5 linked regions of the Nothobranchius furzeri genome follow. The protein of the gene in region 1 purifies or fractionates together with the protein of each later gene. This does not show direct contact. Links are inferred from orthologs where the notes say so. Each region holds a gene or a part of one and is shown in the gene's direction. Other genes may lie near its edges.

Evidence for each region.
Region 2: the proteins of exosc4 (region 1) and hbs1l purify together in Homo sapiens (affinity purification with mass spectrometry; 3 studies listed by BioGRID and IntAct, with this or other methods). This does not show direct contact. The link is inferred for Nothobranchius furzeri from reciprocal best matches to the Homo sapiens genes EXOSC4 and HBS1L.
Region 3: the proteins of exosc4 (region 1) and exosc10 purify together in Homo sapiens (affinity purification with mass spectrometry; 9 studies listed by BioGRID and IntAct, with this or other methods). This does not show direct contact. The link is inferred for Nothobranchius furzeri from reciprocal best matches to the Homo sapiens genes EXOSC4 and EXOSC10.
Region 4: the proteins of exosc4 (region 1) and dis3l purify together in Homo sapiens (affinity purification with mass spectrometry; 5 studies listed by BioGRID and IntAct, with this or other methods). This does not show direct contact. The link is inferred for Nothobranchius furzeri from reciprocal best matches to the Homo sapiens genes EXOSC4 and DIS3L.
Region 5: the proteins of exosc4 (region 1) and mphosph6 purify together in Homo sapiens (affinity purification with mass spectrometry; 7 studies listed by BioGRID and IntAct, with this or other methods). This does not show direct contact. The link is inferred for Nothobranchius furzeri from reciprocal best matches to the Homo sapiens genes EXOSC4 and MPHOSPH6.

Annotation. Positions count from the first base shown.
Region 1 is NC_091751.1:51,169,122-51,172,894, forward strand, and holds exosc4 (exosome complex component RRP41), read left to right. Parts: upstream 1-1,512; 5' UTR 1,513-1,568; coding exon 1,569-1,739; intron 1,740-2,279; coding exon 2,280-2,486; intron 2,487-2,573; coding exon 2,574-2,933; 3' UTR 2,934-3,052; downstream 3,053-3,773. UniProt on the Homo sapiens protein: Non-catalytic component of the RNA exosome complex which has 3'->5' exoribonuclease activity and participates in a multitude of cellular RNA processing and degradation events.
Region 2 is NC_091742.1:448,151-452,698, forward strand, and holds the start of hbs1l (HBS1-like protein), read left to right. Parts: upstream 1-1,474; 5' UTR 1,475-1,647; coding exon 1,648-1,690; intron 1,691-2,230; coding exon 2,231-2,296; intron 2,297-2,978; coding exon 2,979-3,110; intron 3,111-3,256; coding exon 3,257-3,508; intron 3,509-3,790; coding exon of another isoform or gene 3,791-4,548. UniProt on the Homo sapiens protein: GTPase component of the Pelota-HBS1L complex, a complex that recognizes stalled ribosomes and triggers the No-Go Decay (NGD) pathway.
Region 3 is NC_091755.1:29,808,986-29,813,262, reverse strand, and holds the start of exosc10 (exosome complex component 10), read left to right. Parts: upstream 1-1,203; 5' UTR 1,204-1,283; coding exon 1,284-1,409; intron 1,410-2,134; coding exon 2,135-2,271; intron 2,272-2,459; coding exon 2,460-2,583; intron 2,584-2,668; coding exon 2,669-2,773; intron 2,774-2,898; coding exon 2,899-3,058; intron 3,059-3,146; coding exon 3,147-3,255; intron 3,256-3,337; coding exon 3,338-3,413; intron 3,414-3,488; coding exon 3,489-3,599; intron 3,600-3,713; coding exon 3,714-3,857; intron 3,858-4,223; coding exon 4,224-4,277. UniProt on the Homo sapiens protein: Catalytic component of the RNA exosome complex which has 3'->5' exoribonuclease activity and participates in a multitude of cellular RNA processing and degradation events.
Region 4 is NC_091749.1:66,618,431-66,623,022, reverse strand, and holds the start of dis3l (DIS3-like exonuclease 1), read left to right. Parts: upstream 1-1,518; 5' UTR 1,519-1,654; coding exon 1,655-1,784; intron 1,785-3,374; coding exon 3,375-3,525; intron 3,526-4,592. UniProt on the Homo sapiens protein: Catalytic component of the RNA exosome complex which has 3'->5' exoribonuclease activity and participates in a multitude of cellular RNA processing and degradation events.
Region 5 is NC_091744.1:80,075,184-80,079,710, forward strand, and holds the start of mphosph6 (M-phase phosphoprotein 6), read left to right. Parts: upstream 1-1,453; 5' UTR 1,454-1,605; coding exon 1,606-1,653; intron 1,654-2,346; coding exon 2,347-2,459; intron 2,460-4,527. UniProt on the Homo sapiens protein: RNA-binding protein that associates with the RNA exosome complex. Involved in the 3'-processing of the 7S pre-RNA to the mature 5.8S rRNA and play a role in recruiting the RNA exosome complex to pre-rRNA; this function may include C1D.

The DNA of each region.
Region 1 (3,773 bases):
AGTAAAGCAGACTAACAAGAATGAAGAGAAAAGGGTGGTACAGCAAGAACACATGCACTGCTCACCACCCCAAAAATGTCGCCACCTGCATTTAACCAAGCAAACAGTAGAGCCTCCTATTGGATAATTGCTGCCTGGGTGATTATCTTTCAGCTGGCAACAAGTTATTTAACCCCAACTGGTACAATGAGTTGCTTCCCATTTCTTAAATCATGTGTAAAGACACATCTGGTGGTCGTGGAAAAGAAATCATTGGCATGCATCAAGCATAGAAAACATCTAAGGAGACTGCAGAAACTGGGTTTAGAACTGGTCTGATGAGTCAAGATGGACCCTGTTCCAGAGGGATGGGTGCGTCAGTGTAAGAAGAGAGGCAGATGAAGTGATGCACCCATCACACTTAGTTCCTATTGTACAAATCTGTGGGGGCAGTACCATAATCTGGGGTTGCTGCAGTTGGTCAGGTCTAGGTTCAGCAACAGGATGTGGGCAGCTCAGCCCTCCATGTGCTCGCCAGAGGCTGCCTGACTGCCATTAGGTACCAAGATGAGATCATCAAACCCCTTGTGAGACCATTACATCAAAGTTGGATCAGCCTATAGGGCTGGGCGATATGGCCTAAAATCAATATCATGATGTATTGAGGATTTCACCTCGATAACGATAAATGGATGATAACTACAGGTATGCGCAGAAACAAGAGTGGTCCACTAGATGGGGCTGTCACGTGTATCACGTTTAGTCACATTTTTACCTGACTCCAGGTGGTACGGCATCTTAAAGGGACAGGAATGTTGCCAACCTACACACATCTTTTCATTATTTTATTATTAAATTTGTTGACATGGGAAAAATTATCTCGATAAGAGTCTGAAATTTCGATGACGATAAATTTTCGATTTATTGCCCAGCCCAAACCTGTAGTGTGTTTATACATTTTAATTCTGTCGATGCTCTAAATCCAGATATCCATGGGTTGATAAATTTGATTTCTATTGATAATTCTTATATGGTTTTGTTGTCAGCACACTCAGCTATGTAAAGAACAAAGTATTAAGAATATTTCATTCATTCTGATCTAGGATGTGTTCATGTGTTCCCTTTATTTATAAACTGAATTGGTTTTACCGCCTTTAAAAGATATTGTGTAAAAGACCGAAGCAGAACGTTCACAAGGAGTGAGAGCATGAATGGAAACCTAATAATGAAATATGGGCAGGGTAATAGAAAATGTGCAAACCAGGAAACCAGCTGCAGGAATTCAAAATCTGCTGGTTTTGGATCATTGAAACCCTTTTTTAGAATTTGTTTTCTAAATATAAAAAATAAAATGTAGAAAGTGGTTGTGTTTTGAATTTTGACTTTATATTTTCATAGATATTTATTTATATTATTATACTTAAATGAGATCATCCATCCATCCAGATGTCAGAAAAAGGATGGACGGATGGAACGGAAACGTTCGTGCGCTTTTTTTCCCCCCGCTTTGAGCTTGCCGTTGTCCCTGGTAGAGGCTGTTGGGTAATGTAGTGCAGCGTTGAACACGTGAGGCGGGTGTTTGCAGAAACATGGCGGGCATCGAGCTGCTGTCGGACCAGGGATACCGCCTGGATGGAAGGAAAGCCACCGAACTGCGGAAAGTTCAGGCTCGCCTGGGTGTGTTCGCTCAGGCCGACGGTTCCGCTTACCTGGAACAGGGAAACACCAAAGTTCTGGCTGTGGTTTACGGTCCGCACGAGGTATGTAACGTCACGAATGTTTGGAGGACTTCATAACACATAACCATATAAAGGCGGTACTATATGTTTCCTAGTATTAGATTTAACAACATCTTCGCGCCTATTAGTGTTTGTATAATAAAGTGAGATCATAATAATATTTTACAATGTTTACTGTGCATCAGACGTGATAGAGCAGAATGCTACAGCATGGAGGTTAAATTAGAAATACACTGGAGCGAATGAAAGAATAATGAATGCAAATCACTAGTTATAAATATGAAATCAAAGTTCAAATGTGGTAACCCACCAGAAATGTATTTGTCGATGTAACCTTACAGTTGAGAAATAATAATAATAATAGAAACTTAAATCTAATGTTGCACATATTTCCAGAAACCTAGGGACTCCTGGTCTTGAAAAAAAATGGACATTTCAACATCCAGATATTTTTTTTAATTTTACTTTAGTTCTATTAGCATATTTTTAGGAATTATGTTAAAATCAAACAAGTCCAGTCGTGATTATTTTTGTATTTCTTCATCTCATTCTTCCCTCTAGATGCGAGGTTCAAGAAGTCGTACTCTCCACGATCGAGCCGTCATTAACTGCCAGTACAGCATGGCCACATTCAGCACCGCAGAAAGGAAGAGGAGGCCGCACGGAGACCGTAAATCCACCGAGATGAGTCTCCACCTGAAGCAAACGTTTGAAGCTGCTGTGATGACCCAGCTCTTCCCGCGCTCTCAAATAGACATTTATGTCAAGGTGCATCTTAGATTCTTTAAGTTTCTCTTTTCATGTTAATAAAGACAGCAGTTCCTTTTTTTCACGAAGATGTTTTGTATTTTTCAGATTCTGCAGTCAGATGGTGGGAACTACAGTGTGTGTGTTAATGCAGCCACCTTGGCTGTGATTGATGCTGGCATCCCGATGCGAGACTACGTGTGCGCCTGCACCGTGGGCTTTGTGGATGAGACTCCCCTCGCTGACCTTTGCTACGCCGAGGAGAGCGGAGGAGTCAGCTCTCTGGCGTTGGCGCTGCTTCCCAGGGGAGGACAGATTGCTCTGGTTCAGATGGACGCCAGGCTGCATCAGGATCACCTGGAAGCACTGATTGAAGCTGCAACGACAGCTTGTAAAGGTGTGAGCAAGGTGCTGGATGAGGTGGTGAGGCAGCATCTTCAAGAAGCATCGGTGCTCACCGGAGAGTAATGAATTATGAAGTGGAGCCCGTTTGGACTGAGAATCTCTGAACTCTTTCTTTATTTTATAATATTTCATTGCATTTCTTTATCCTTTTGTAACCAGACCTATAAATGTGTGAATGGAAATCTTCTCTTTGATTTTTCTCCTGACTCTTGTTCGATAGACATGTAGTCTCTGTTAGTTCTGTTAACTCTGAATAACAGATCATTAATAGTAATTATTAGAAAGAAAGAAAATGATCTTTTATATAGCGCCTCATGATAAAAATCACAAGTTGCTTCACAAGAAAAATACATTTTAAATATTAATAGATAAAATGATTAGAAGATATGGTTAAAATGAGAAAAAATATGTGATTAAAGGAAAGGATAAGGAAAGGGAAAGAGAAAATGAATAAGAAAGAAGAAAATCAGTGGATCCTGGGAGAGGTGGAGTTGGTAGAGCAGAATAAGGAGAGGGAGTGATGAAGGTAACACCAAAGCCAGCCTGAACAGGTGAGTTTTCAGCTTCTTTTTGAAGGAGACCACTGAGTCCACTGATCTCAGGCTCAGGGGGAGAGAGTTTCAGAGTCTGGGGTCTACAGCAGCAAATCATTGTCACCTTTGGTCTTTAGCCTGGTGCGCTGTACAACCAGTAGACTTTGATCACTGAACCTGCTGGGGATGTAGAGATTAAGAAGATCACCACTGTATGAATGTGCTTGTTCATGTAAGGGCCTAAAAACGACCAGGATCTTGACAAAAACCCTGAAGTTGACTGGCAGCTTGTAAAGCTGGAGATTTAAAAAAATGTTCTTTATTATTATTTTCAAACAAATCTGTCTAAATGGTTAGGGAGTTTTAAACT
Region 2 (4,548 bases), on another chromosome or scaffold:
CCTGTTAAAAGGGAGTTTTCCTCTCCACTGTCGCTTTATGCTTGCTTAGTATGAGGATTGCTGTATAGTCACTGACACTAGTCAGTGACTCGATGCAATTTGCTGGGTTCCTTATATAGGAAACATTATTTCTGATTGGCTTAATGAACTGACCTGAATTGGAATGTTTATTATGTGAAGTGCCTTGAGACGACTCTTGTCGTGATTTGGCGCTATATAAATAAACTTGAATTGAGTTGAATAGTTGAATGTTTTTAGGGATGGTAGACAGCTGACCAGATGCGTACACGCCGCAAAAATAATCTCCCAGCAGGTTCGATAATATTCTGTCCAATTCGTGATTATCCATTAATAATAATCCACTAATACCTCTCTCTTTGAGTTTATCTCCAGAATGGAGTCATCACAGGCATACACAATGAGTGTAGCCGTGGCTCTCAATTCATCTGTGTAAAATAGAAATCATGACATTTGATACAATTTGAAAATTTTTTAAACAAAATTACGAACCATAGCATCATTCTTCTCTACATTTTTATGATATTTAGACAGAATTTGTTTCAGAGAAACTCCACAAGCCGTGCGACACAGGAAAAAAACACTATGGTGACCGCAGCAGTCGGATGCTAAACTCTGTAGCTGTTTATCTTGATATTGTATTCTTGAACAACGTAGTGCTAAGATAGCAGGAAAAAAATATGTCAGTCTAGATTGTGTATGTGAGGTGTTGTGAGCTCAGATGGGCTGTTCTTTAACCATGGGGCATAACCTTTGACAGGATGATTGTTGACATTTGCACCCTTCTTAGACGGGACATAAAAGTGTGTTGCATGCATGATGGATCTGTTAAGTTGTTTCTACGACTTGCTGAAAAGAAAATGCTCGCTACTTTTTTCTGCATCTTCTTCTCTTCATTGTTTGCTCTCACTTGATGGCAGATTGATAAGACCTGAAAATGCAATTTCTTGGAAAACTAAATTAGTTTGTTGGAAAAACGATGATAGAGCTGAACATTGCAGTTTTGTAACAAAATTTTTTTAACTGATCAACAAGTCAAAACAACCGTTTCAAATCACATATTGAAACAGGTGCGTAATTATTTTTAGTAGAAACTGTGATGATTTTTTAAATTCACAGATGATCCCTACAATGAACACAATCTAAAGTCATAATAAGTTAAATAAAGGTTGATAATCGAAGACATATATTTAGCTCGTTGTTTTTTATGATTACTGTCTCCGTATCAAATTAATTTCTAAGCTGTATTAGTTTATTTGTCCAAAATTAGTTTGTAAATATTAACTGACCGTGGGTCCGTTTGAACTGCGCCCACTCAGAGCCGCTCCTGTCAGTAGAACTGATTCCAGTACATACAGGAAGTGACGTCAGCGGAAAAATCTTGAAGTTATCTTTTTTTAACTTTAATACGCATTTTGAAAATTTGTATGATCCGTTGTGAAAATATAAACGTTAGAAAACATTTTACATTTAGCTTAGTTGTTTTCGGTGCTGCTAAATAAATCGTAATTCGTACACTCGTTGTTGAAAACTACACAGGAGCAAACTCAATGGCAGCCGCGGTGGTAAACACATGTATGTGAGCTGAATAACATCTACACCGGGACCAACAGAGGACAGAAAGACGAAATGTCTCGCCACAGAAATGTTCGAGGTTACAACTACGATGAAGGTAGATTACTTTAGTCAGTATTTGTTGCTTCATTCGTTGCCTTCAGACTGCTAAACACCTTAGCCGCTAGGCTAAAATTAGCTAGCTAACGCTAGTTCGACGTTCACCTGCCAAAATAATAATGCTGTCGTGTCATTTGGCACCAAGAAAAAAAAAAAGACAAATTACACCTCAGTACCGGCGTTTATGTGCATATCCACTGATTCAGGTGTTAACGTAAAAACCTGAAATCAATGAAAACAACTTGCATGATAATAAATGTAGCGGCTGCTATTCAGTGATTTGTTAGAAAGCTCTAAACGCATGAATTGTACAAGTTTCATCTAAGACAGCTAACATACACTCAACGGTTACGGTTCTCAAACCGGAGTAATTACCCGGCGACCATCATGCTAGTTAGTTTGTTGCGGATTTTTAAAATTGCTGACAAGGCAGAGTGACATCTGGCACAAAGCACTCTGTAACAATGATGTAAAGAAATATTTGGCAAATGATTAAAAGCACTTATTTGACCTTGTTCTTTTGTATATTTTTAATCAGATTTTGAAGATGATGACATGTATGGACAATCTGTGGATGATGACTACTGTATATCACCAGCAACAGGTTGGTTTCCAGTGACTCATTAAGAGGAAATACTGTATTAATAAAGGACTGGTTTAGTTTCCTTCTGAGACCCTTTCTTAAAAATGTCCAGTAACAGATTTTAAAGTCTTTACTGTAACTAAAGTGACCAATTACTCTGATCAAAATGCCAGCCAGCCAAATAAAACAACCTATTCTAATAGGTCTTCCCATGTTGCCAAAACTGCTCAAATAGAACAAAAGATCGATATTGATCACCTCTTCAATCTCTGGTTATCAGTCACCTCTGAAAAGAATGATGAAAAATCAAAATGTGACCTGTTTGTATTTACATGTTTTTTTCTATGTAGCATTAGTAAAATTCTGCATGGACACAACTAATCTGCAGCTATGTCTATAACTGAGTCAAGTTAACACATTATGGGCTAAAACTTTGTTGTTTGATCTTCAGTCAATCCAATTAAAGTTAATCGAAAATTTCTAATAATGAAATGGCTTCAGTTTAGTCAGTCTTGAAGATATTGAGCGGTAACTCCATAATTTGTCAACATGGGATGAGGATATACTCCGACATGAAAATGATCAGACAATATGCGTTTCTTTAAAGAATGCTGGGTCTTTGATTTTTCATCTTTTGGCTGATGCTGTTGTGTATTACAGGTTTGCAGTCAGCACTTAATTAAACAAAATTTTGTTCATTTAGCTAATCAGTTCATTTACTCACGTCGAGAGCGACAAGCCCCCAAAGAGGAGCCTTTAGAGGAGGAAGAGTATGAAGTGGAAGATGTTCACATGTCCCCAACAGCCGACCACAACCTTGACCCTCTTAATCAAGGTACTCTTTTTATTTCACTGCAACTACAGACAAAATGTTTTTGGATTCTTGTGTATACATTTTTTATGTTTTTACATATGATTGATCCTGCTGAATCGATAGTTTTTTTCGAATATATTTTTTCTAACTCCCATGTTTCGTTCTAGCTAAGCTGTATTCCTGCCTGGACCACATGCGGACCGTGCTCGGAGACGCAATGCCAGACTCGGTGCTGACCCAGGCTGCAGTCAGACATGGGTTTGACCCGCAGAGGGCATTGGATGCAGTCCTGTCTGAAGACACCAAAACGGCCCCGGTTACCAGAAGTGCAAATGAAGAGATGACATCAGTCAGTAGAGTTTGTCAAGAGACGACGCCTCTTCCACAAAGAACCAAGCAGGAGATTGTGGCTGAGAAAGGTACGCCTAGAGTGAATCAAACCTGAAGTTTTATTTGTTTTAAATATTGGAAATGAGTGAAATCAGATAATAATCATTAATTCTGTATGCTTAGCACTTTATCACTAAGAGGGATTTACTACAGGCTCTATTGATGACACATTTCCATCATGCATGTGTTTAACAAAGTGCCTTGTTACTTTTTGTTCTTGCTTCTTAAATGTGGTGTGATTCATCACTTCTGCTCATGTGATCCTCTCGTCCCTCCTCTTCGACAACTTCGCTTGGCTTTCGTAAGGTAAGGAGCCTGCTTGTCTGCTTCTCACACAGACACTACATCCACGGCACATAAACAAACACAACCAAGTGCACGAAACCTCTTATCAGCGCTCGAGACCGGGCCTGCAAGTAGCAGCTGTGCAAAGAAACGTTTTCAGCTTGAAAATGCTCATGGAGGCGTCGGCGGCAGCACCAGTTTGGCTCAGCTCATGTGTGAGCACGAGCGAAAGAGTAAAATGAGCGCAGTTGATAACAAGTTTTGCTTAGATGTTTCATCATTGAGTGTAGCTTCCAATTCATTGCCGACTATTCCTAATCAGAGTAGCCTATCACTTGGAACTCTGGCATCTTTGAAAATGTCCTCTGAATCTAACACAGCAGCTCCCTCCATCCTTTCCACTTCACTCAATAACCTGTCACTAAACACCCCCAAGGTGAGAAGCTCCACTGTAGCTCCTCCTCCTGAGTTTGGAAGTCTCAGTTCTGTTCCGCATCCATCGACGGCCGATCCTAAAGGCAGTCCTTCATTGGCTGATTTAATCCAGGAGCACACCAACCGCAGCCCAGTTCTGAGTAACTCGCTCATTTCTGGAAGCGGAGGGCCTTCTGTTGCAGCACCCACACTATCGCTGTCTGAGCTTGCTTCTCAGCACCAGATCACTCAGGTTCTGCCTCGGTCACAGAGAGCAGTAAGCACGGTCTCCTCTTCCAACACGAGCAGCCTCACTCCTTCTTTTCTCAGCGGGACCGTCTTGTTATCAGAGCTAGCCCAGCAGCATCAA
Region 3 (4,277 bases), on another chromosome or scaffold:
ATAATATGACAAAGTTTATTAAATCTGGATTAATACGTCATTATAAAGACTGTTATCAGTGATAACTCAATGGTTTCAAAGTAATATAACACTCAATATCTTTAGAAACGAACACATCAAGTTGCTGGTTTTGTGCAGCGACTTTCCAACAGATGCTGATTCATTTCTTTGAATTATTAGTGCACGTGTGTGCCGAAGTTTGGTTACTCTCCGCTGAAACAACAGAATGACATGGAAAGATGCTGTGAAATATTGATCCAGTCAGTGTTGCGGAGATGCTTTTAAGATAATAAGAAGGAGAGGGCCTCGTGAAGAAATCGATTTGAATGGGAAGTGAAGAAAAGAGAGGTTTCTCCCCACACACCACAGATCATTTATAATGAGCTGGCGTGTCAATACTTTGGCTCTTCTCATGTATTGACCACTGGATCACAGCAACACCCGGTTTTTCTAATTTGTTTTGGCAACAAACACTGAGGGGAATGAATACATTTACAGTTAGGATACCTTCATCCTTGGTCAAACTCTGCAAAAATAATAAGCTTTCGATTCAAATATAATATAGACGTCTCTTAAACAAATATTGGTGGAGACATGACTGGTGCATTTTCCTTTTTCATGTGCTGCAGATGCTGAGGAGTGGTTTGCACACTTTACAAATGTAAACACTGCCCCCTCATGGTACCAGAGTCCTGGTGCATCTTTCTGTCTAAACTGGATCAAATGGGGCGATAAGAGAAGAAATCTTGCAGCGTCTGCAGTCTCACTGCATTGGATGGATGCTCTGCTGACCAGAGCACAGTCCTGCGGGATTTGTGACCAACATCCTTTCAGATTTGTAGTGAGAGTAGCCAGCATTACAACAATACACAGCAAATATTCCAGATTTATATCATTTAAACCAACAATTATTTTATCTATTTGTTGATTCAGATTCAGTTTTTGTCTTTTCTTTATCATGTAGAAAATTAATTTATATGTACAAACACTTGTAAAAATGTTGCTATATTTAATAACTTCAAGCTTTTCAACAGTATTTTGTACACTATTGTACATTATTTATGTGTTTCGTTTATTATGTTTACATTTTTGAGTGTAGTTTCAAATCAGAGAGCAACTAAATCAATTTTAAAATATTTTATGAGTATTCACTCCTGTGTAATGTTGACACTGTCCACTCCATGCCGAAAGGGGGCGCTGTGACCCTACTGCTCTACCATTAACACTGAAGGTAAAGGTGGCGCTGTTTCCGTCAGGCACTCATGTACACAACTCAAATTTAGATGATGAATTCTTCAAAGAGTAATGATGCCACGGACAGCAGCTGTCAGGGAGGTAATTTGGACACTACTGAAGAAGTGAAAGATGAGTTATGTCCTGGTTTCAAAGACGCGGACACCTTCGTTAAAGTAAGTAAACAAAACTAGCTAGCTAGCCAGTTTTTAGCTTATGCTAACAGTCCAACGTGGGTGAGCTGGTTGGCCAGTTAGCAGGATCATCATTGGGAGTTGAAGTCAAGCAAAGCAGAGACAATGACTTAACACTATTCATAAATTAAAGGTGCAACGGTGTGGTTGTGTGTAACGAAGCTTTTTGCCAACTAGCTTTTGACAGCTTTTTCATTTAGGGATCCAAATCAGCAGTAGATATAAGCTGATGATTAGAGCAAAATATGTTGCTACAAGCTTTTATTCCACTAGATTCGGGGTCTGCAGTATTTAAGCTTAAATAACCTTTTTATTGTCAAATATAATTTAGTAAAATAAACTATGAAGGCATGGCAGCTTTATTTGTGTAATGCATTTCATACAACGAGGCATTTAAATAAATAAGGAGCGCATGAAATATTTAATTTTGATTTAAAAGTTGCTAGAGTTGGGGCACACAAAAATCACCATTAAATTAAGACAAATGTTTAGATTTTTTTCTGTTTAGATTAGTTCTTCATATATTTTTTCTGTTTGGTCAAAGTTACATTTGGCCCCATCAGAAAGAATGAAAAGCTGCATTTTCCAACAGCCAAGCTTTTAGGCAAATCAACATCACATTTAAATCAAACCAATGAGATTTTAAATATTATTGCATTGTTATTATCCTTTAGTAATAGTAACAACTGAACCTGGTCTCTTTACAGTATGGTTTGGGTGCAGTGTTATCGGCCACCAAAGCTTCAGCTGGCTTACCTCAGTCTGGAGATGAGTATGATTTCTATCGGAGCTTCCCGGGATTCCAGGAGTTCTGTGAAAGTCAAGGAGATAAGCTTTTGCACTGGTAAGTGTAGTTTCTATTGGCACATGTCAATGATCAATCAGCATGTAACCAACACATAATTAACAATTATTTTATTCTTTTTGTCACTGACCAGTTTTTCAGAAGCAAGCTCAAGTTTAAACCTGAACTGAGTATTCTGAGTTCTGAGGGAGTAAAACAAGGTTTTAATCTGTTTAACTGTCTTTTAGCATGAGCCAGATAATGCAGAACCATGGCTGCAGATCTCACATAAAAGACCGGGACAAACTCACAGGAATAGAGGAGAGGTTTGACTTGGTTGTGGACTCGAATGATGTTATCCTTGAAAGAGCGGTATGACCTGCACCTTTGGCTCTAAATTACTTAATGAATGCAAAGACCTTTGCAGACCAACCAGGTTCTGCTGTCTGGTTTTTAGGGCATTCTTCTTGATGAAGCTGATGGGGTTAATCGGAGCCAGAAGCCTGTCATGCCTGTTGGGTTTCAGCCTCCGAAAATTGTTGTTTCTAGTTGGAATCGTAAGGTAGGTGAAATAAACAGTTCTTCCTGTTATCACAGTTTTTCTGTTTTGAACTACCTTCTTGCTTATCTATAAATTCTTATATCATAATAAGCAGAGTGTGTGTGCGTGTGTTTTTTTTTTTACAGGGTTCCAGCTCTGGCAGTCGTTCTGAGACATTCCGACTGCTCCATGCCAAGAACATTGCAAGGCCTCAGCTGAAATTCAAAGAAAAGGTCGACAACAGCAACACACCTTTTGTTCCAAAGATCTTCATCAAGCCCAATTCATTAAAGGCTCTTCCCTCCTGTAAGAAGCACCTTTGGCACATGTTTTGATTTGCCATTTCAACTCGTCAGCGTATCTGAGTTATTTATTTTCTTTTCTCAAACTGTAGATTTTACCAACAAACAAATTCGTAAAGAGAGGCCGGAGGACCTTGACGTCCCAGCTGCCCTGGCTGACTTTATCCACCAGCAGAGGACGCAGGAACATGTTGAAGACATGTGAGACTTGTCCCTGGTTGTGTCAACACCGTGTTTCATGTTTTCATTTCTCTAAGTAGAGTTTATTTTTTATTTTATGTAGGTTTGCACACCCGTACCAGTATGAACTGGACCATCTCATAGTACCAGAAAGCTTGCTGTCCAAGCCAGAGCCTCAAGTAATATTAACCTGTAGTAACCCAACAAAATCATCTTGTGCCGGTGTGTGTCTCATCTGTTTCTGTTCCTTCTAGATGTACAAACCGTTGGCTGAGACAAACCTAACCTTCGTCGACTCGCTGGAGGATCTAGTGACTCTCAATGAGAAGCTGTGCAAGTCGTCTGAATTTGCTGTGGATCTTGAGGTACTAAAGTCTCGTGTCTTTCTGTTCTAATTAAAATAAAAGTAGCTTTAGGAAGTCATTAAACTCTTTGGAGGCTGTTTTTCTGTTAAACATTTTCTTTTTTTTCTGTGACAGCATCATTCCTACAGGAGTTTCCTCGGCCTCACCTGTCTGATGCAGGTCTCCACCAGAGAGGAGGACTTCATCATTGATACTTTGGAGCTCCGCAGTGAATTGTACATTCTGAACGAGGCGTTTACCGACCCGAGTATCGTCAAAGTAATGAAACTGTTCTATAAATGAGTTAATTTAATGTTGAAGAGATGAGCTGAGTCTGACTTGTGAAGGGAGAGCGTGTCTCCATCATCCTAGGGAGCAGTTCTCCCTCAGCAGTTAAGATAAAAGCCAGATTTCCGTCTCATTAACATGTTTGATAAGGTTGGCAGGTGTCTTGTGCGTGGGAACCAGCGTGACTCACACTCTGCAGGACACCTCTGAACAAATATGATGTGTGGGCTTGGAACAGCTGAAAGATTTGTTAAATTATTCAAATTAAAGTGTTGCATATGTGTCCAGTTAATTTGTCTTTTTTAGTTCAGAGATGCTTTAATAAAAGCGTGTGTGGGTTGGTTTTCTGTTCTGCAGGTGTTCCACGGCGCTGATTCAGACATCGAGTGGCTCCAGAGGGACTTTGGTTTG
Region 4 (4,592 bases), on another chromosome or scaffold:
CAGACAGTCCAAACATGAGAAAAGAGATGAAGCTGAGAGTCGGGCTGTGAGGGTGGGAGCAAATGACTGACACCCATAAACTGAACCAATCCAGCTACAACAAGCACTTTTTTTACTTCCGTGTTGGTTTCAGGTCTGGGTCTTCGGGGTTTCTGCTTGGTTCTGACCCAGTGGGCTGGCTAAACCAGTTTATAGGTCTTATTTGTAGGTCTTTATTATAATTTTGTGTTTGATCATTTATCAGAGCTCCTGGGCCATTGTAGACCCCAACAACATTTCATAGGCTGTACAAAGGCTCAAAAAACAGTTTCTAGTTGTAAAAAAAATGTTTTGGGTCTTTTTAAAATTGTATATAAATGTAATATCCTCTGGTGGCAAGAATAAGCTCACGGAGAGTGGGTTGTTCTTTGGGAATATTTATTACTCCAACACAGGTACAGCCATGCTTCCCGGCAACGAACTTCCGCTTGTCTAATGTTAAAGTACACCCCACTTTGCATCCAGAACACTAGGTCCACCTAGAGGCTTCCTGTAAAATGTTTAACCTCTCACAATACTACAATAAATTCATCACATGAATCATAAAAGATTTGCTGTTTGCCACAGAGGGGGGAAAAAAAGTGCTGATGACAGAATTTCCTGTTTAGTATTCTAACCAGAAAAGGTGTTCAATACTAGGCTAGTAAAACTAGACCAGATTCCTCCCTTTTAAGTTTAAATACAAATAATATACTTATTTAGTCTGGCTTGCCAGGCTAGTTCAACACAGATACCTTTAAGCAAACATTTAACTGTTTTGTGAACAATTTTTTAATGTGAAACTTTTCCAGATAAAAGTGTTTTTAATCAACCCCTAGAACATATTTTGTAAACGTCGTCTTTTTGTTTATTTCAGAAAATTCTGGTAAATTCAAAAACCTTTTGAAAAACACCTGAAGAATTTCTGTTTGCGGGACAGAAGAGAATCCATGAGTTTTCTTTTGTCCGACAGTACATGAACGCAAAAGGACAGCACCAACCGTGGCTCCGACTCTCTCAACACGGAAACAGGTGTTGTGCCGAAAGGAGCATGCCTGCCGAAATGCGTATCCCCATGAAATAAGCATAGAGGTAAACTAGAATACTTTATGAGCGACGAGGCTAACACGCTTCTGTTACGTGTTTTTCGTGAAAGCGTTTTGTTTTTGTTTACAAATATGATGAAATAGTTATAAAAAAATTACGTTTTTGAACGTTTGAGAATAATGTTTTAGTGAGCATTTTTTATGTATTTTTGTGCTTTCTCCCAACTATTTTGTTGTTGGTTCTTAAAAAACACACGTGACACAAAATTACTCATTTTAAAATATTTATTACTACTTTATTACTATTTCTTCAAATAAAAATGTTTTAAACATAAATTTCTTTAATTTATCTGCCTACAAACGATCTTTTTGTAAGGAATCACGCAGATAAACATAATAATATTACATTAATAGTACTTTTTAAGCGCCTTTCCACAACGGGGATGCACATTTCGCCAGGCATGCTCTTTTCGGCACAACACTTGGAGCTTCCCTCTCACAAGTCCGCCAAAACATAGTCTTCACTTTAAAGTTCCGGTTTGTAAACTTTGGGTCAGCGGCTGCTGATCCATTTCGGTTCAGAGTTCGGGATGATTAAAACCGAGAAGATTCTGCACCTGAAGAGTTACCGAGGCCGGAGGGTTCGGGTGGTTCGGGAGCACTATCTGAGGGAGCGGGTTCCCTGCTTCAGCTCTCTGTGTCAGGCGGCCTGTGCTAACGGTAAGTCCGCCAAAACACACAACTAGTTGCTAAAAACACACAAACAGCCGTTTAAAACACAACTAGTCGTTACAAACACAACCAGTCTATAAAACACACTACTAGTCGCAAAAAACAAACAAAAATAACTAAATAAACCGGCCGATAAAACACATCTAGTCGCTAAAAACACAGCCAGCCACTAAGAGCTAACGAGTGTTTTATTTCCAGTCCTTCATTTATTAAACCTTTATTTATTTTTATTTAACCAGATGAGTCGATTGAGAGCTCATTCTCGTTTACAGAGATGATCTGGCCAAGATGCAGCAGCAACAGACACATAGTTAGCTTTACACTAAAGAAAAACAGATAAGATAAAAACATACAAGATAAAACAGTTAGACATAAAGACAAAGGACTGTTCTATTATATAATATGTACCAGCGATCCAAACAGACTTAAAACTGTCTTTAATGTGCCAGTGTGTATTTTTCCTGGTTGATGGGGAGCAGTAGACACCTAAAACATTGCAAGCAAGCAGCATTTTTGTGTTGGAGTAAGACCTTACCAACGGATGCCTATTAGGGTCAAAAAGCCCTGAGGAGTGCAAACTTCAGGAAAATGACAAGCACATCAGACCTCCTTTCATCAGTGGCAACAAGTGAAGAGATAAATGTGTAAAACAATGTTTATTAATAGTGAAAGTTTTATAATCGTTTGTTACTAATCAGTAAATGCATGGACGTAATTGGGGGGGGGGGGGGGGGCATGTCCCTCCCCACTTTTTCCAACGTCAAGTTTTGACCCCTGCACATTTTACCATCCAAAAACAATATTACGCTATACTAAATTGACACTGGTTGAGCTCTAGGACCAAGCAGAAACCAACCGTTTGTGTTGAGACCTGTTTCCCATTAGAGCATACTGTAAAGATTTTTTTTGATTCATTTAAACAAAATTTTGCTTTAAACTTCATTTTCTCCAACAGATTTAACAAGCAGATTGGTTAAACTTGATTTGATGACTCGGACTGGAGCTGTTGGGCTGCGCAGTGGTGCAGTGGTTAGAGCTGTTGCCTTGCAGCAAGAAGGTCCTGGGTTCGCTTCCCGGCCTGGGATCCTTCTGCATGGAGTTTGCATGGTCTCATTTTGCATGCGTGGGTTCTCTCTGGGTACTCCGGCTTCCTCCCACAGTACAAAAACATGACTATTAGGTTGATTGGTCTGTCTAAATTGTCCTTATGTGTGTGTGTGTGTGTGCATGATTGTTTGTCCTGTGTGTCTCTGTGTTGCCCTGCGATGGACTGGCTCTCTGTCCAGGGTGTACCTTGCCTAATTGCCCGTTGACTGCTGGAGATGGGCACCAGCCCCCCCGCGACCCTACATGGACAAAGCGGGTTCAGAAGATGGATGGATGGATGGATTGGAGCTGTTGGTAGACTCACATTCTTGTCCAACCGAACGTTAGAGGACCGATATAATTTAATATTTGTATTTTCTCTGATGGATTTATTATCACAGGTAGATCAGTGTAACAGAACATCTGATTTCTGTATAAAACAGTGAATATGTTGTGTGTAGCCATGGTAACGACCTGATGACCCCTCAACAGATGGCAAGGTGTTGCCCGGAGACTTGACCCACTATGTGGTGCCGGGGGTGGAGGTGGTGGTCAACTTCCTGGAGATCCTGGAATTCAGGGAGCTGCAGGGAGTCATCTTCACCCAGACGGCCTGCCAGGCTCTGCAGAGTAAAGGGCGCAGGTACAACACACACAAACACACACACACATAGAGGGTGAAGTGGGTTGTCTGAAGAACTCCAGTCTACCGTCTTTTTTTATTCCAAAGTGATGGAGAACATCTCATAAGTTTTCCTGACAAACCATTAGCAGCTGGTTCTGGTGTGTGTGTGTGTGTGTGTGTGAGAGAGAGAGAGAGAGAGAGAGAGAGAGAGAGAGAGAGAGAGAGAGAGAGAGAGAGAGAGAGAGAGAGAGAGAGAGAGAGAGAGAGAGAGAGAGAGAGAGAGAGAGAGAGAGAGAGAGAGAGAGAGAGAGAGAGAGAGAGAGAGAGAGAGAGAGAGAGAGAGAGAGAGAGAGAGAGAGAGAGAGAGAGAGAGAGAGAGAGAGAGAGAGAGAGAGAGAGAGAGAGAGAGAGAGAGAGAGAGAGAGAGAGAGAGAGAGAGAGAGAGAGAGAGAGAGAGAGAGAGAGAGAGAGAGAGATCGGCTGGCGGGATGATGTAGAGTGATATCTGCTGTAGGAAAATGCAATCAGCAAGGGCACAAAAACAAAACACGCTCAAAGATAGCGACAGAGCTCGAGACTAGGTCATATACCCAAACGAGTTAATCATCCGACGTCGTGTAGGTCTCAGACTGCCCCTCATATAGCCAGCCGGTGATTGCAGCTGAGTGGCTGCAGCTGGGCAGTTCTCCGGCACCGCCCACCTGCAGGAGAAGGGTTAGTGTGGGGAACAATATACCTCAGGCCATGACAGCTTGACCTTCTCTGGAACCGAAGCCTTTAGGAAAAGCAGCGGTTGCCGTCCGACCAGACCAGTCTTGGGATACTTCCGGGTCACGACAGTTTTATTGGCATCTAGCGAGACCAAAAAGGGGGTCGTGATGGTTCAGCTTTTATTCTGAAAGGAACCGTTGCAGCAGTTGGAACAGCAACAGATTTTATCCAGCTTGTCGTTAGGTTCTTTCGGCTGAAGAGGAAAGTTACGGATTGAGAGAGAGAGAGAGAGAGAGAGAGAGAGAGAGAGAGAGAGAGGGAAGGGAGAGGGAGAGGGAGAGGGAGAGAGAGAGAGAGAGAGAGAGAGAGAGAGA
Region 5 (4,527 bases), on another chromosome or scaffold:
ACACTAAATAAGTATGTATAACACTAAAAGCTATGCTAAAGACTAGGATATGCTAATGCTATATGCTAATGCTGAACTACGGCTAGCCTCCTACACTCTCATGCAAATCCAACTCCCAACTCGCCACAAGGCGTGGCCGAGACTCCCGATGCTTTTATAACGTTGACACAGAGCTGCTACGTAGTACTCTACTGGATTACGTAGTATCTTACTCTTTAGCCATTGGCTAAAATTTATTCAAAATGAGTCAAATTCTATGTTTTAAGCTGAAGGTGGAGCTATACTGTGGTATTTAGGCAGAATTTTTAATTTTTTAAGAAAATGCACCAAAATGCTAAAATAATGAATACACACATTTAAAACACTATTAGACACTCATTTATACAGTTCATCAGCAAAAAAAAGTTAATTTAGACGTTACTTGCTCTTTAAGTTTGATCAGAAGTTGCTATGTGTATTGTTTATTTGAAAACTATTTACAGAGCAGCCTCAGAGTTGAGATTAAATGTTTTTGATCACAATAGTAAAGGAACTATTACAGAACAAGTTTTTCAATAAAATCAGAACATTAATATTTAAGTGCATGAATTAAGAGAGAGAGAGAGAAAAAAAGATCTTTTCTATAGCGCCTCTCAAGATAAAAATCACAGGGCGCTTCACAAAAACAAAACATGTAAAATAGAAAAAAGAATTTAGAAAATGATTAAATTAAAATGAGCAAAAAATAGACAATTGTGATTAAAAATGTAAAGAAAGAGAGAGAGAGTGAATAGGAAAGAGGGAGTGGATCCTCCTCAGGAAGAGGAGAGAGAGAGAGGGGGGGGGAAAAAGAACCCCGACTGGAGTGGAAGCAGTGACATAAGAATTAAGTCACACAACGTTTTCCACAAATGCACACGTTCATTCGGAAAGCCACACTCTTGTGTTTCACAAATATAATTCGGAGGAACACAAATGCACAAGCTCATTCGGAAATTCACACTCTTTGACTCATAAATATAATGTGAAAAAATAAGTCACGCAACATTTTCCACAAATGCACACGCTAATTCTGAAGTTCACACTCTGTGGTTCACAAATATTATTTGTAAGAACACTTGTAATATAAACTCACAGATCATCCGAATTGCTGAACGTGCATTTACGAAAAGCTTCTCATTTGTGAACCTTTCTGCGTTTGTGAGTGAAATCTGTGCGCTGAATTTTGGGGGCTTGTCTCCAGCATGTGTTACCATGGTGAATGGGAGGGGCTTCAAGCTAGCCACATTGGTCTTTAAATTATTGTTGGCTAATGTGTTTCGGTTTAAACAAACAAACATATAAACTGAAATAATTTACACAAATTCATCTTCGAGTGTTTTCACGGTCATGTCCTTTTATCTTTCTAGAAAAGGTTAGATGACCAGGATCCAATTCGAACAGCTGCTCGTGTTTGATTCATCATCCTTAACATCGACCATGCATGCGCATCAATGTTCGATTGTTTCAGACTGTGGTGAGCGCTTAGCCCAGTGGCTAATGCTAAGTGCTGATTGTTAGATCTAAACGAGTTCGTTTGAATGAGTTCGGATTTACTTTAAATTAGTATAAATTAATCGGCACAATATGGCGGAAGATTCATTCAAACTGTCAAAAAACCTGCTGCGGATGAAGGTAAGCGTTAGCTGCTAGCTCTGCGCCGAACGTCATTGACTAAACAGAAATGAACGTTTGATGTGTGATAAGAAGACGCTAGTTTCCTCCCAGATGCTGACTCCAAGCAGCGTTTATCACCCTGAAACTGAACTTGAATTCGGGGTAAAGCAACGAGACGAAGCGGATTTAGGCGTGTTTCAGAGATGTATCTGATCTCTGTGAACCCGTGGAGGAGCGGGATGTGCCTCCTTCATCTGGACCACTCTGAACCAGGACCGAACCTGAGAGAAGATTCTACCAAAGTCCAAAAAAATCCGAACCACAGCTCACAAAAAGCCAGAGCTTCTGGTGCAATGATTAGAATCTTCACTCCCAACACGTCCTCCATCCTGAGCAGCACCACGCAACGTCCTACAGAATCAAGTCCAGGATGGACCGACTGGTTCTGGGAGACCTGGTGGCCGCCAGAGAGGAGCCTGGGAAGGGAAAGCTGTGCCTCTTGTTTTACTGTTAGAACCTCTAGGAAGGAACCAAACTTGCTGCTGCCTGAGAACCAGGAGTTGTGGGAAGAGAGAAGATTTCTGATGGAAGTCAACTTTAGAAGTTCTGGATCTTCCAGGAAGCTGATGATCTTGGCAGCATTGTTGTGGACCTGGCTAACGGTGGTTTTGGTTGGGTCCAGATTGAGTAAATGTGTGCTTTGTGTTTCAGTTTATGCAGAGGGGACTGGATGCTGAGACAAAGAAGCAGCTGGACGAAGACGAGAAGAGGATCATCAGTGATGAACACTGGCACCTGGACCTGCCGGAGCTCAAATCTAAAGAGTATGAGAACAGGAATCCCACTAGCCTGGCGAGCCACGACCCATAGACAGATCTAAATAATGGGGTGGGATCTACGTTTTTTTTTTTTTGTTTTCCAATAACATCCTGCCTACTTAGTGTTGCGATTGGTCCATGAAATCTATATAGCGCCATGATTGGACCACTACAGAACAGCAGCCATCTTTATTTGTAGTTTACCTGGCTGATACCTATGTTTGGACAGTTTCGAGCGGCAGCCATGTTTGTTTGCAGGGACATCCCTCCCACCTCGCTAAAAGAGCACTGTGATTGGCCCAACAAACCAGTAAAACACTGATTGGAATGCCACGGATGTCAGTCAACGGGGCAGCCCGCCGTTACATTAAAAAAAAAAGTAAAACAGCGCGCCAGCACTAGCCTGGCAAGCCAGACTAAATAAATGTATTATTTAGGCAGGATGTTGTCTGAAAACTCAAATTTTATTGATCCTATTTATCTTAATAATTCCCACAAAACTAGATGGTACTAGATTAGTAGTAAAAAGTATTGGTATTGGGCGGCAATACTAGCCCCTGTATTTACTTGGTATCGGATCGATACCAAATTTTGCAGTATCGTACAGCACTACTGACTAGTCGGCGGTCAGCCGCTCGTTTGAAATGGCTTTGGCGTCAAGTTTGGACTATTATGACTTTTTAGCTTTTGTTTGAGTCAAGATCAGATAGAAGTACTAACGTTTATTTAGGAAAAGGATGTGTTTTGCATCTTCTTTGACGGAGTTTGGTGGACTGCCTCGTTGACCGACATCTGTAGCGGTGAGTAAATCAATGCTTGCCAGGCTAGAAGAAACGGAATCGATACCATCACGCAGGTATCTAGTAAATACTCAATACCAACGTTAGATCGATACTATCGATATCTTAGCTCGATCCGCCCAGCCCTATTTGTCAGTTTTACTGCCTCGACGCTCCGCAGCTACAACATGGCCGCCGCCTCCTCTCTTTCCATTCAATGTTTCTGGTAGCAGCGGTAAACAAGGCTTTGAAGTATCGCGCAAATTCATTGTGACTCGAGACATGTGAGGTTTGTCTTATTTTACTTACTGCATTATGAAAGTAAACAGCGCGTGCACACACACACACACACACACACACGTTTATTTGTCAGGACGGCTCTCCTCCTCACTGCACCTTCGCTCGGCCAGTGCTTCTTCCCCGGCTCCTCGGGCCCCGCCGCCGCGCTGATTTGTTTTAAAGAAAAACAACCTCAAAAGTCATTAGATGGTTACAACCTGTCTGTGTCTGGTCATGTGGGGCCTTTCCCTTTTTTTATTCTGTCATGAGACTGTGGCCTAGTCCACACGTAGCCGGGGTTTTTTAAAAACGAATATCCGCCCCTCCAAAAACTTGCATCCACACCACCTCGTTTTAAAAACAAACTGTCCACACGTACCTGGATAAATACGTTGTTAAGGACATGCCAGACCTGTAGGCGGCAGTACTTTCCCCGTTCTTAACCTCGTCCTTCGTCTGTGGTCTTCCGCAAGGAGCAGTAATTCCTCTTGCAAAAACAAACAAGCAGAAAGCGCTTGGACAATTGATAAAGCGAGCGCAGCTCTGAGGGCATCCATGCTGTCGGCTAGTGTAAACACAGGTCGCACACGTGATGTCAGCATTGCTTTGTCGCAGAAAGTGACGTTGCGGACCTTAAAACTCCGGTTTTGTCCGTCCACACGCAGACACCCAACACGGAGAAAACGCACATCTTCACTTTGGCCGGAGTTTTTTTAAAAAGATCAGTTTTCGTGTGGATGACAGGCCAAAACGTAGAAAAATATCTACGTTTTGGCAGATCCCCGGCTACGTGTGGACAGGGCCTTTGTCTGCCACAAAAAGGGTGGTTTATTCACTAGAATTCTCTCCGTGGTCGTCAACCATGTCCTTCAGTGTATTTTGTGAGCTGGACACCTTGATGTTTACTTGTGCAGCCTACAGCTCTACGTGTGTAAACATGCTGATGGATTGAGCTCTGTTTATGACAACTAACAGATAAACGCTGGTTGTCAACAGAGCGGTGCCGGCTTCTTGCC